Linked DNA regions of Nothobranchius furzeri. The protein of the gene in region 3 interacts with the protein of the main gene of each other region in a pairwise test. Links are inferred from orthologs where the notes say so. Each region holds a gene or a part of one and is shown on either strand. Other genes may lie near its edges.

What was found.
Region 1: the proteins of sp4 (region 3) and pou2f1b interact in binary tests that used the Homo sapiens proteins (3 or more experiments, as listed by UniProt). The two-hybrid records come from large-scale screens. The link is inferred for Nothobranchius furzeri from reciprocal best matches to the Homo sapiens genes SP4 and POU2F1.
Region 2: the proteins of sp4 (region 3) and nrf1 interact in binary tests that used the Homo sapiens proteins (3 or more experiments, as listed by UniProt). The two-hybrid records come from large-scale screens. The link is inferred for Nothobranchius furzeri from reciprocal best matches to the Homo sapiens genes SP4 and NRF1.

Annotation. Positions count from the first base shown.
Region 1 is NC_091754.1:25,731,961-25,735,608, forward strand, and holds part of pou2f1b (POU domain, class 2, transcription factor 1b), read left to right. Parts: intron 1-127; exon of another isoform or gene 128-275; coding exon of another isoform or gene 276-306; intron 307-572; coding exon 573-629; intron 630-1,050; coding exon 1,051-1,133; intron 1,134-1,790; coding exon 1,791-1,886; intron 1,887-2,483; coding exon 2,484-2,666; intron 2,667-2,755; coding exon 2,756-2,876; intron 2,877-2,969; coding exon 2,970-3,049; intron 3,050-3,202; coding exon 3,203-3,376; intron 3,377-3,648. UniProt on the Homo sapiens protein: Transcription factor that binds to the octamer motif (5'-ATTTGCAT-3') and activates the promoters of the genes for some small nuclear RNAs (snRNA) and of genes such as those for histone H2B and immunoglobulins.
Region 2 is NC_091741.1:47,346,024-47,349,671, reverse strand, and holds part of nrf1 (nuclear respiratory factor 1), read right to left. Parts: intron 2,918-3,648; coding exon 2,803-2,917; intron 2,665-2,802; coding exon 2,538-2,664; intron 1,899-2,537; coding exon 1,758-1,898; intron 1-1,757. UniProt on the Homo sapiens protein: Transcription factor that activates the expression of the EIF2S1 (EIF2-alpha) gene. Links the transcriptional modulation of key metabolic genes to cellular growth and development.
Region 3 is NC_091751.1:28,246,436-28,250,726, reverse strand, and holds the start of sp4 (transcription factor Sp4), read right to left. Parts: upstream 2,909-4,291; 5' UTR 2,738-2,908; coding exon 2,731-2,737; intron 2,492-2,730; coding exon 2,421-2,491; intron 1,712-2,420; coding exon 1,379-1,711; intron 1,298-1,378; coding exon 100-1,297; intron 20-99; coding exon 1-19. UniProt on the Homo sapiens protein: Binds to GT and GC boxes promoters elements. Probable transcriptional activator.

The DNA.
Region 1 (3,648 bases), on a different chromosome or scaffold from region 3:
GGCTGAGCCATAAGAAAAGAAAAGAGGGAGGCAAGGAGAGCTGTTTGCCTAAACCCTGTTGGCTTTCCCAGTGTTCGTATCCCAGTGTTGTTCAGCAGACCGTGTGGTGAACACCGCCACCGTGTCTGTGTGCGCCTGTGGTTGCATTGAACTGTGCTCACTGCTGACCAGCGGAGAGTGAAAACAGGGAGGGGTGGGAGGAAGAAGCCGGCGCTGGACATCCTGTCGGTGGGCTTGCCCAATCCAGGCAGCTTTACTTGACAGGTTCAGCAACCATGCTGGAAAATACAGGTGGAACGAGAGCGGGTGAGTTTTTCATCAGGCTGTAATGGAGCTCAGCGGGGATTTTAGTCGGTCGCTTTAACATCCAGATCTCACTGGATTTGTGTTACTCTATTGTAAAATCAGCTTGTATGTTTGCTCTGTTTAATTCAAAAACTGGTTCTGCTGCTTTGAGGGGCGAATGTGTCTAAAGGTCTGATTTAAATATTAGGAATATCATGCAAAGCTGGGAGGTTAGATCACCAGTAGGTGTGACTGTATCTCATTATGTATCCTTCTGGCTCTTTCAGATGTTAAAGTAAAGTCAGAAACTAAATGTGAAATGGAAATTGGTGACGGGAACCCCGGTGAGTGACCTGAATATTCTCCTTCCCCTTCACAAAAGAATGTTGAATATTGAAATACATTCAACAGGTTTTATAACATTTATGCTGCATAAACCAAATGTATACATAAACCAGCTTCCCACTGTGTCTATAGACTTTTAAATACCTAGCTGTATTTATTTATTAGTGATATTTTGAAGTAGGCGCATCACAGCACAGCTTTTCCCTAACTTCATGACTGTTTTTATCCTCTTGTTTAAGAATGAATACAAATGTGATGATTCCCCACATTTAAATAAACAGATAAATGCAGCTGTTGCATATGTTTTCTTTTAAAAATGTTTTATCCAGTTTCTTTTTCCTGAAGTAATCCTCCACCAGGTTGTTGACGTTCCTTGTTTTCTCCATCCAGCTCGTTTCATTCGGTTTTCCTTTTCCTCAGGAATCCAAACCAATGGATTGGACTTTCAGAGGCAGACGGTGCCAACCACAATTGCTAATGCACATGCACAACTCCTCTCACAGGTAACGCATGCACACAGCAACACTATCGCCTATCTTCATTACTCCTTTTCCTGCTTAATTAAAGCAGCAGATGTGGAGCAGATGTTTAATTGCAGCTGCACATACATATAGATATGGAAAGAAAAATCATGTGACTACATGTAAAAAATGTGCAGTCCTTTCATGTTCACACAAATATTCACAAGCTTTAGAGTTCATTTAAATGAGCCAGGCACTCTGTGTCGCCTGGCAACTAGGCAGATTAATCAACCCTGTATGCTAATTAGCTGCTCTGCGGTTGCTCGGAAACAGATGGCCAAGAATATGCAAATCTATGCAGAATTTACATGCACTGCATAACAGTTATTTTAATTAGCATCTCGACTCTCCCCTCCCTTCACTTCACTCTTGTCTCTGAAGGCTGCGGCACATTTTAAACACCCACTTTATTGCAGCCTTTTTAATTTAAATTCCTCTCACTGCTTTAAGACTAAAGGCACATTCAGACCAGGCACAGAAATTAGATTTATAGTTTCTTATTTTATGGAGGATGTTCTTTATGAAAAATTCTCCTGAAAGGCTTTTAATTAAAGCCACTAGCATCTTGTTCTTATTGCTAGAATAACTGCTATGACACCAAAATAAAGCGCCCCCCCCCCTCTACTTTACCTTTACTAGTCTAAGTTGGAAGACTCTGGTGCTCTTTCGACCTCCGTCCAGCAGAGCATACTGCCTCAAACCCAGCTAATGTTGGCCGGGGGACAGATTGCTGGAGTAAGTGTGTGTCCCCCCTCTGCTCTTGGTTATGGCCTGCTCATTACATGCATCCCATAATTCCTCAACCCGACTCAAAGGCAGCTGATGAATAGGTGTCTTCTCTGCCTGCTTGCCTGCTCATCCCTGTGGTTTTTAGTTTACATCCAGATTCCCACACAACAGAAAACGTTGTGGCGTGTTTGAAAAATTCATCATTGAGACATGTGACACTTTTCATTTCTACGTTTCCATGTTTTCTTGAGGCCCTGTTGTAGTTGAGTGGACAAAGCGGCTGCTGCTGTGCAGGAGGGAATGTTGCATGTAGATTTGTGTTTGCACGACATCAACATGCTCATTTGCCTGGCCCAGATGCATGACTACGTTTTCTCATAAAGAGAGAGCCAAAGTTTCAACTAAACTTCCATACCTTTGTGAAAAGTTGAATTCCTGTGTACCTGAATACTTTGTCATGAGAAATGGGGAAAAAAAATCAGGTGTAGAGCAAAGCATAATTTTCAAATGAACTTTTCGCGGGTATTGAAGTCTAAGGCTGGATGGTCTCCTTGATTTGTGTTTATATCAGGAACACAGTAACACCTGTTTTGTGTTGTTCAGTTGTCCCTGACCCCGCAGCAGCAACAGCTGTTGATCCAACAGGCCCAAGCTCAGATCCTGGCTGCAGCCGTGCAGCAGCATTCAGCTAACCAGCAGAACAGCACCACTGGGGCCAACATCTCTGCCACCGCAGCCACACCCATCACCCAGCTGCCCCTGTCACAGCCCATACAGATTGCCCCTGTAAGCCAGATTTGTTTAAACGTCAGTTTCTGTAAATCTCAGTACATGGTCTTTTTCATAATGTGTTTTATTTTTATTTTTTCCTGCAGCAGCTTCAGCAACAGAATCTCAGCCTACCCCAGTTTGTACTGGTTCAGCCTGGCCACCCAATCGCCACGCCACTGCAACCCACCCAGTTTATCATCTCACAGATGCCGCAGGTCCAGCAAGGTGAACAAAACACTCAACAGCAGAATTGGGTAGAAAGGGTTTAAATGAATGAATGAATTGTTGTTTAAACTCTTTATGTTTTTGTCCCTGAAGCCCAGAGTCTTCTAACTCAACTACCTCAAAGCCAAGCTAACCTCCATCCGACTCAGCCAAGCATCACTCTTGCAACTCAGGTTTGTAACGATGCAACGATCTTGTCTAAACTTTAAAAATGCGTTGACGATTTTTTCCCAATAAGTTTAACTTTTATGGATTTTCTCAGGTTTCCTCCTGTCTTTTAAGGAGTTTCTAAGCAGTCATATTTGTTCTGTTTCCACTCCCTCCAGCCTGCATCTCCGTCCCGTACCACGGCAACCACAAATATTCAGACCCTGCCCCACAGTCAGACACCACCCAAACGCTTGGACACCCCCACCCTGGAGGAGCCCAGCGATCTGGAGGAGCTGGAGCAGTTTGCCAAGACTTTCAAGCAGCGACGCATCAAACTGGGCTTCACACAGGTTCTTTTCACTTTAAACACCTGTTTTCACATGTAGATTTGTAGAAATGTATGAATGGTTGAGCTAGTTTTATCGCTTTAAGTATTCCTTATAATAAAAATAATCTCTATAATGTTGCTAACATTTTTTAAATAAAATATGATTTATGAGTAAAAAGTCATTTTATGCCTCATTACTTTAACTTGATAACTGACATTTTGTACCAAAGCTAGACTGCAGGTCAGAAATTGAGTTCCTGCATTTAAAAAGTATTGGTTGGAATCAGTTTGCTA
Region 2 (3,648 bases), on a different chromosome or scaffold from region 3:
TCGTGCACCTGCTGAGGTGGTCAAGGCCCACAAATAGAAACAGTATTTCCAAAAGAGGAGACCGTGGTTATTTGAGGGCCGATCTATGGCTGTGGCTCCAGCCTGAGGAGCCAAACTGACACCACGAGAACCCGTCCCAACAAAGGCTCCAGTCCATTCCCCATGGGTCTGTTTGCTTTGTGATCAAACTGAGAAATTGTTAGGAAAAATCTAAGGATGAAAATGAGTCATGTATAGCCTTTTTAAAGTAAGATCTTCTAATTTTCTCCATATTTCAGAAACCTGGCATTAACACTTTCAGATGCACAACCACCAACACACTGCAGCAGGGTTTAGAGCCAATGTCCTCCGTGTCCTGGTAATATGCATGCATCACTGGGGGATTATATTGCACCATGAGTCTCTGCAGAGTCTGCCTACCTTGACATCATGGGCTAAATTTGGTTCTGGGAGAAATAAATCCCTTCCTCTTGCCTGCTAGACCCCCCTTTCCAACTCACAGTCACAAGCTACATGCACTCAGCATCTCAGTGCACTAAACGACGAAACACGACAAAATGGATCTCGCTAGAAAATGGAGGCTCAAAGCTTAATCACCAAACAGAAACTGCATCTGATGTATTACAGCTCCCACTTAGCAAACAGTGAGATGGCAGCTTGGATTAGACAAGGACAAGGACTTAGTAGCAAAGGGATTCTTGCATTTCCACCTGTGGGTGATGCGGATGTTTGCGTGTGAGGCCAGATGGCCTAATTAAAGTGGCTAGTTAGTTAAGTGGCATGTTGCCTTCATGGCGACTGCCCCAACCCCCAATCTTAATCCTCAAAGCAGTGGTCCAATCAGAGTTTGGGAGAGCAGCTATGTTGCCGGGTCTCTGAACTTAACAAGGCTAGGCGGTAATTATGGGCTCAGGCTAGACCTGGGATCACCTGCTACACATGCTCCATGTAACTTCAGGGACGGGGATTTTGGCTGTATGTGCAAAATCCAAAATCCGTTACAGATTAAGAAGTCCTGTTTGTCAATCTTTTTAGTTTTTTTTTCTTCTTTAGAACAAACCGTTCTACCTGGTTTTACTAAATGGCAAATGAGGCAACAAATGACTCCCATTAATCTCATCCTACAAGCTCCAGAAAAACAAGCACCGACTAACACTCAGCCTCCCAGGAGCTCTCCGGCGTCGGGATTGGCTGCCACGTTCCCTGGGCTGTGGGCCATCTCTGAGGGCCACCATCATGCCGGCTACTCTGATGATTATCCAGAGTGCGTCAGCAGCACGGGGACGGTAGAGTAAACAAGCCGGCATCCCTGGAGTGAACCGAGGGCTCAGGCAGCCAGTGGTGCCAATGCTGCAGTGGAAGAGCCGCCAACTCTGCACTTCCTCTCTGGGAAAGAGGAGGTTTTACTTATGTTAAAGTGCTGACACCCCTCACGAATCAGAAATGTGCCTGAGCCACTCTAACTTTTATTCATATGCTTACCAAACAAAATCATTGCTCACATAAAGGAAAAAGAACATTAGGCAGTGATGATAAACTATAAAATAAGCATTTATTCTCACTGTCTAGGCTTTTTTTTATCCTACAAATGAAACATGATTGTATTTTTCTAGGTTTATTGGGAGCTAGCGCCCCCTACTGGTAGCATTAATTTAATATTTAGAATTTCACTGCAAAACAAAAACAGCCATTTAATGGTAAATGTGACCAGTTGATCACCTTCTGGCTATGTACCTTATATTGTAAAGAGGTCTCACCTGGGTCATCTTGTCCACGGAGACGGGGATGCCATCGATGGTGAGGGGGGGCAGCTCCGAGCTCATCTCTCCACATGCAGGAGCATGCTCAGCCAGGGCGTTCTCCAGGTCATCTAACAGCATGCCCTTATACTTTCTCACCTAGCCACCAGGACACAATCATCTCAGACACCTTTGGAGTTTTTGGATGTTGACAGGATCAGAACACCATTAAAGCTGCTTTCCGGAGTTTTCCTCTTTCAGAAATAATGTACGATTTGTCAGAGATCTGTAAAAGTGATTATCTTATCATGTACTGTGATATAATATGAGCAATACGTCTTTTTTTTTTTTTTTGCTAAGCACACCCTGTGCCCGGCAGAGCTCCCCGCAATAGGAAACTGAGCGCCGACCAGAACTAACCAATAGCGTTAGACTACCGCTTAGACCCTTCACATTTAAGGAATACCTCGGCTGATGCAGCGTTGATGAACTTTTCACAGACAAGAAAGTCTCTAAAATATAAATATACGAGAACACAACATGACATGAGAATAATACTCGTAAAACAACATGTTTTAGCTGTTTGTCGGCTACAGAAGCACATTTATAAACAGAAACGTGAAGTCGCCATCTTAAAAAACAGAGCAACAGCGTTTTTGTGTGATACGCTTGTCAGCCACTAGATGGTGCCATTGGATAAGAGAAATACTCCAGAAGGAAGCTTTAACCATAATGGCTTTTGTCACAGTTATTCCAGCAAATAGAGAAATGTCACAGTGCAACGCTAAAGACGCTCACCACGTTCTCCAGAGGAGCAGCACCAAACACCTTAAACACAGGGTTTGGTTTAGATGGAGACACACACAACACTATGGCCTGTTGGCCCACTCTGGTGGTGTACTCATCCAGCGTGGCTCGCAGTTTCCTGTAAACAAACCATCATCTTTCACCTCCTTTAACAGATCTAAAGTTGCACATGAGAGATGTCGGGTGGTTGAAGCTATTTTCATTCATGTTAAACTGTTTGTTTAAAAGATGGCGGGGGCTTCTCGGAGAAACTCACCTGAGCAGACGAGTCTGCTGCCTCTTGCGGATTGAGGGGTTGGATTCAAAGATGTGAGGTCTTTTTCTTTTTTTACCGGTTGCCACAGCAGCAGCAGCTGCCATGCCGACTGGTCCTGATATAAAAAAAAAAACAAAAAAAAAAAACGGGAGCAAGTTTTACTGGTTGTAAAAGAAATGACTCCAAATTTACTAAATTTTACAAAAGTAATTCTGCGTTTTCTTCCCCCTGACTTCTCTGTTTGGTATGAGGAACATGTTAATACACAAGCTTCTCGTTTTTATGAAGAGCTTTCTTTAAAAAAGGATTTAGATGAAAAATGTGCCAGAAGAAACTCAGGAAGTGTCTATCGATCTGCACAGCTTCAATACAAAGAACATTAGCACCACCCGCTGGTCAATTTGTAGTATTACATCAAGGTAAATAAAACATGACCTGCACGTGTGTAGCGCCTTTCTGAGACAGGCACACACACACAAGCACACACACACACACACACACACACACACACACACACACACACACACACACACACACACACACACACACACACACACACACACACACACACACCCTGGTGCACACTGACGAAGGCGAGGCTGCCGAGTGCCACCAGCAGGTAAGATGGTGAAATGCCTTGCCCAAGCACACAATGACTTAACGTGACTGCACGAACATGGGTTTGAACCTGCAATGCTGAACTCCTAATCCCTGAGCTACCGTTGCCACGTAAAACAGTAAAGTAAAGAAGTGTGAACCACTTTCTGGAGTTGAACGAATACAGAACATAAACAGATGACTCGTCCATCAAATCTTACAAAACAGTGGACTTCGGACACATTTTAG
Region 3 (4,291 bases):
TCCTGACCCTGTGGTTGACCTAGAGATGAATAAAAAAAAAGATGATGACAGTGACAGTAACAGCTGTCAGCTATAATCTGACAGATTCTTTGTTCTCACCCTGCAGACCAGTGATGGTGAGAGGTACACCCTGCACCTGGACTCCAGCTGTGCCCAGTCCTGCGATGCTGACTGTCTGCACACCTGAGCCTGGGTTGATCTGGGCTGTGCTCAGTGTTAATGGGGCTCCACCGAGGGAAACCAGCCCTCCACCACCGACTGCCGTCCCACCAGCCACCGGGGCCAGAGTCAGCTGCTGTGGCACAGCTGTACCCAGGCCACCCTGCAGGGACACTCCTCCGGGAAGTTGCAGCGTCTGCCAGGTGATCTGCCCTGAAGTTGACAGGGTCGGAGCACGAATGAGAACCTGGGCTGGATTCTGGAAAGCCTGGATGGGCTGCAGGGTTTGTCCCGGAGCCAGCTGGAGGGTCTGAATGTGTTGAGGTTGCTGCTGTCCCTGTATCTGACCCTGACTCTGAGCCTGAGGCTGCAGCTGGATCTGCTGCACCAGCTGGTGTCCCACCTGGCCAACAATCACCTGCTGGATGGCTCCTTGTGTTTCTGACTGGTTCTGGAGTCCGTTGGCTTGGTTCTGGCTTTGAGAGTCAGCTTCGCTGCTCTGCACTTTGGTTTCAACTGATGCGTCCTCGGGTCCAGCAGAAACCACCTGACTCCCATCAGGAACGCCGTCACCTTCGGTTGGAGTTGGTGCGGATCCAGCTGCAGCAGGAGCTCCACCAGACATGGCTGTTGTCACCATCTGGCTTCCATTAGCAACAGAGAAGGTGCCATCTGCTGATTGGATGAGCTGCACAGCCCCGCCCCCTCCAACATTATTGATCACGGGCAAAGCCAGGGTCATGCCACCAAGGTTTATGGGGACCGTGGTCATAACAGGAGTCTGGGAGCCTTGCAGCGTCTGCAGCTGAAGTGGGAAAGACTGTGCAGGACGTATCTGGAGTGGGACCGTCTGATTGGCTGTGCTTGGTAGGATAGCCTGCTGGTTGGCCGGGTGGATGATAGCCTGGGTTTGGCCTGAGTTTGGGGTCTGGATGAGCTGAACCTGCTCAGGTAGAGACCCGATAGAAGCCGGCTGGGGGCTGATATGGATCTGCTGTCCATCTGCAGTTTGCAGGTGAGGGATGACCTGATACTGGACTCCGCCTCCAGCACTGGGCAGGTTCTGAACCTGAATGATCTGGAACTGCTGCTGCGGCTGACTGGTTGCTACGCTGTTCGTCCCACCTGCTGCCTTCACCTGCAAAACAGAAACAGTTTAGCAAACAGAAAAAAAAACAAAGATTTTCCCAAAATCAACAGATTTCTGAAATCCACTCACCTTGCGCCCCGCAGGTGAGCTGTCGTTGACCAGCGTGGTGGCCACTGTCACAGCAACAGGTTGACTCGTGTTCTCCTTGGCCATCGCTGGAGCTGCCGTGATGACCTGCCAGCTGTTACCTGCGAACTGAGCTGGGACCAGTTCCAGTTGCTGGGGCACCAGGGCCTGACCCCCAGCTGCGTCCACCACTATCTGACCTGCTTGTAGTTGGATCTGACCAGCCTGGACCTGGATCTGCTGGGCTCCTGCCTGGGCCCCTTCTGCTCCCCCCTGCCCTCCGATCTTACTGCAGGTGGCTGCGAGCAGAGCCAGCGGTGAGGGCTGAGAGGAATCCTGGAGGAAACGGAAAGAGGGAGGAGGCGTGATGGAGAGGAGTTCCAAGATGAGAAGCACAGACAACAAGAAGCAATAAGAACGAAACGAACAAAGATGAAACAAAGGTCACGCTATCGATTATAGATGAGAAAAAAGACAGAGTTATCGAGGGGTAGAGCAAAAGGAAACGGTGAGCTTAGAGACAGAGCTGTCAGTGGAAGTGGGCGGTATTACAGGAAGCGAGTGGGTGGGCGTGTGAGAACCACATTTCTCTTTTCTCAGAACACTGGAAAAAAATGCTGCCTTCTCTGCTTCTTTGTAAAAGAACTAGGTCGCAGGCGAATTCAGAAGCTGCACCTCTGACACTCAAAAAAGACCCAAACAACCATGAGAGCATGAGGAAAACCAACAGAGCCTCTAACGTTCGCCAGCAACCAAAGGTGTGCGTCAGTACGACCGCTGTGGCTAAATAATGTTTATATAACCTCTACTCAGTCTTTAAAAACGACTTTCACACAGAAGATCTTCATTCAAACACACGATTCCAAAGTACAGCTGCTGGAGTGTGAAAGCTTATTCATGAGGCACAGAAGCAGGAAGTGAAATCCACCAGAGAAACGCCCCCAGAGGTGTCTGGCTGGTTGAAAAAGGGGGGGTGGGGGGTTGCATTTTTGGCCTACAGGCAAGTCAGAAACTAATGAACTACAATAAACTTTCACGGCTTTACCTGTGATCCAGAACTTTTAGCCCGTTTAGATGCTTTCCCTCCTTCAGTTCCAGCTGATTCCTTCTTTGAGTCTGTGGAAAGAAAGTATAATTCCAGAACAGTAATTCTGTCATTCCAGGATTTCTGGAATGATTCTACCAAGTCAGAAGCAGGTAAATCTGATGTGGACTAAAAGGAGGTTTAACACAACAAAGGTGATCAATAAAGAGCAGAGACAGCATAACCTCATCAGTACCAAAGGGGCATGCAGCCTCCTATCTATCTGTCAGACGGAGAGAGGGGTGGAGACGGAGAGGGGGAGGGTACCTACCGCTCATAACGCATTAATATACCGGGAGGGAGAGGGTGTAGTTCGCGGTGGAAGGCCGGCCGGGTACAGAGGCGGAGGACGGCCTATACGTTCAGCTCTGGGCCGTAGCGGATCTGCCCGTTTGACGAAACCACCCACCAGCCAGGAAGGGCGGTGCCAAGCGCGTTTACACTCGACCTGCCTGAAAAATAACGGAGACAACGGGGAGTGCGGTGATCGTCCCCGCTCCCACGGACGCCTCGTAGCTCGTTCCTGCGTCCCTTTTCCCGAGCAGGCAGTCCATAAAAGAGCTAATTTGTGCTTGTCAGAGTGATATCTTCGGAGGAGTTGGCAGTGTGTGACCATGGAGGCCCACCCACTTCCATTTAAGCATCAGGACAACACCCTCCTCGCTGCTGCTGCCTGTCACCGCCGCTGCTCCCCCCGACACACGACACCGGGACGCCTCGTCGCCGTCCGTGGCGCATCGAACACCGGCAGTCCCTGCTGTTTGTATTTGTAGCGAATTCCCTTTAATTCGAGCTGAATTGATTTTTTAGGGGTTATTCGGGCTTTTGTGGGCGGACGCGCTCCTCCCACTTATTCAGATTGGACGAGCAGGCTCGGCGTGCGAGGGTCCAGATGGGAGTTGTATTTTGACGAAGCCTCGCCTTCTCGAACATGCGAAGGCGGCCGGAACTACAACTCCCATGATTCTCTAGCGGCTGTTACGTAGAGTGAAGGGGAAAGGCGGAGCCTGCTGTGTGATGGGGGTTGGGCGAATGGGAAAGAAGAGGCGCGTGCGAGAGGAAAGGAGAGGAAACATAAACATGAATGAAGCAGAGACATTTTAGTCAAAGAACCACATTACAGACAATATTAGGTTCGCCTTTGTCCGGAAAACAGCTTTTCATATACATACTGGATAAAAACCATGGATAAAAACAACACTTAATACAAAAATTAATAATTCATCCATCAAGTTCAACAGGAAACGAACAATTCTGCCTTTAACTAAAAATTAACCACAAAGTTAACAATGTAATGTTTATTTTTCTAATTAATAAAAAATAATATAGGCTATAGTTCAACATCAGAGCAGAAAAACGCACACATATTTAGGGTTCAAATGTCAAATAATCTGTTGTTGTTAATCAAATTTCTTTACAGCATATTATGCATATACCTGAAGCTTTGCATCAGCAAAGTATATCTTATTTATATATATTATTTGAACAACTATGAAAAAACTCATTTAGCATGCACTGATATTTATCTTTTTGGACTGAAATATTATTAGTTTACTGCAATGGACTGGCACTCTGTCCAGGGTGTACCCCGCCTAATTGCCCGTTGACCGCTGGATATATGCACCAACCCCCCGCGACCCTATGTGGACAAGTGGGTTCAGAAAATGGATGGATATTATCAGTTTAAACATTTGCAATGTTTCTGTAATTTATAATTTCTTTTTGCAAATTACTTGATTAAAGGTGTGGAACACTGAAAAAAACGTTTATTTCATTATTTTTAATTATAATCTGTCACTCTGATATTTTCCTGCAGACTCACCATGAAAACA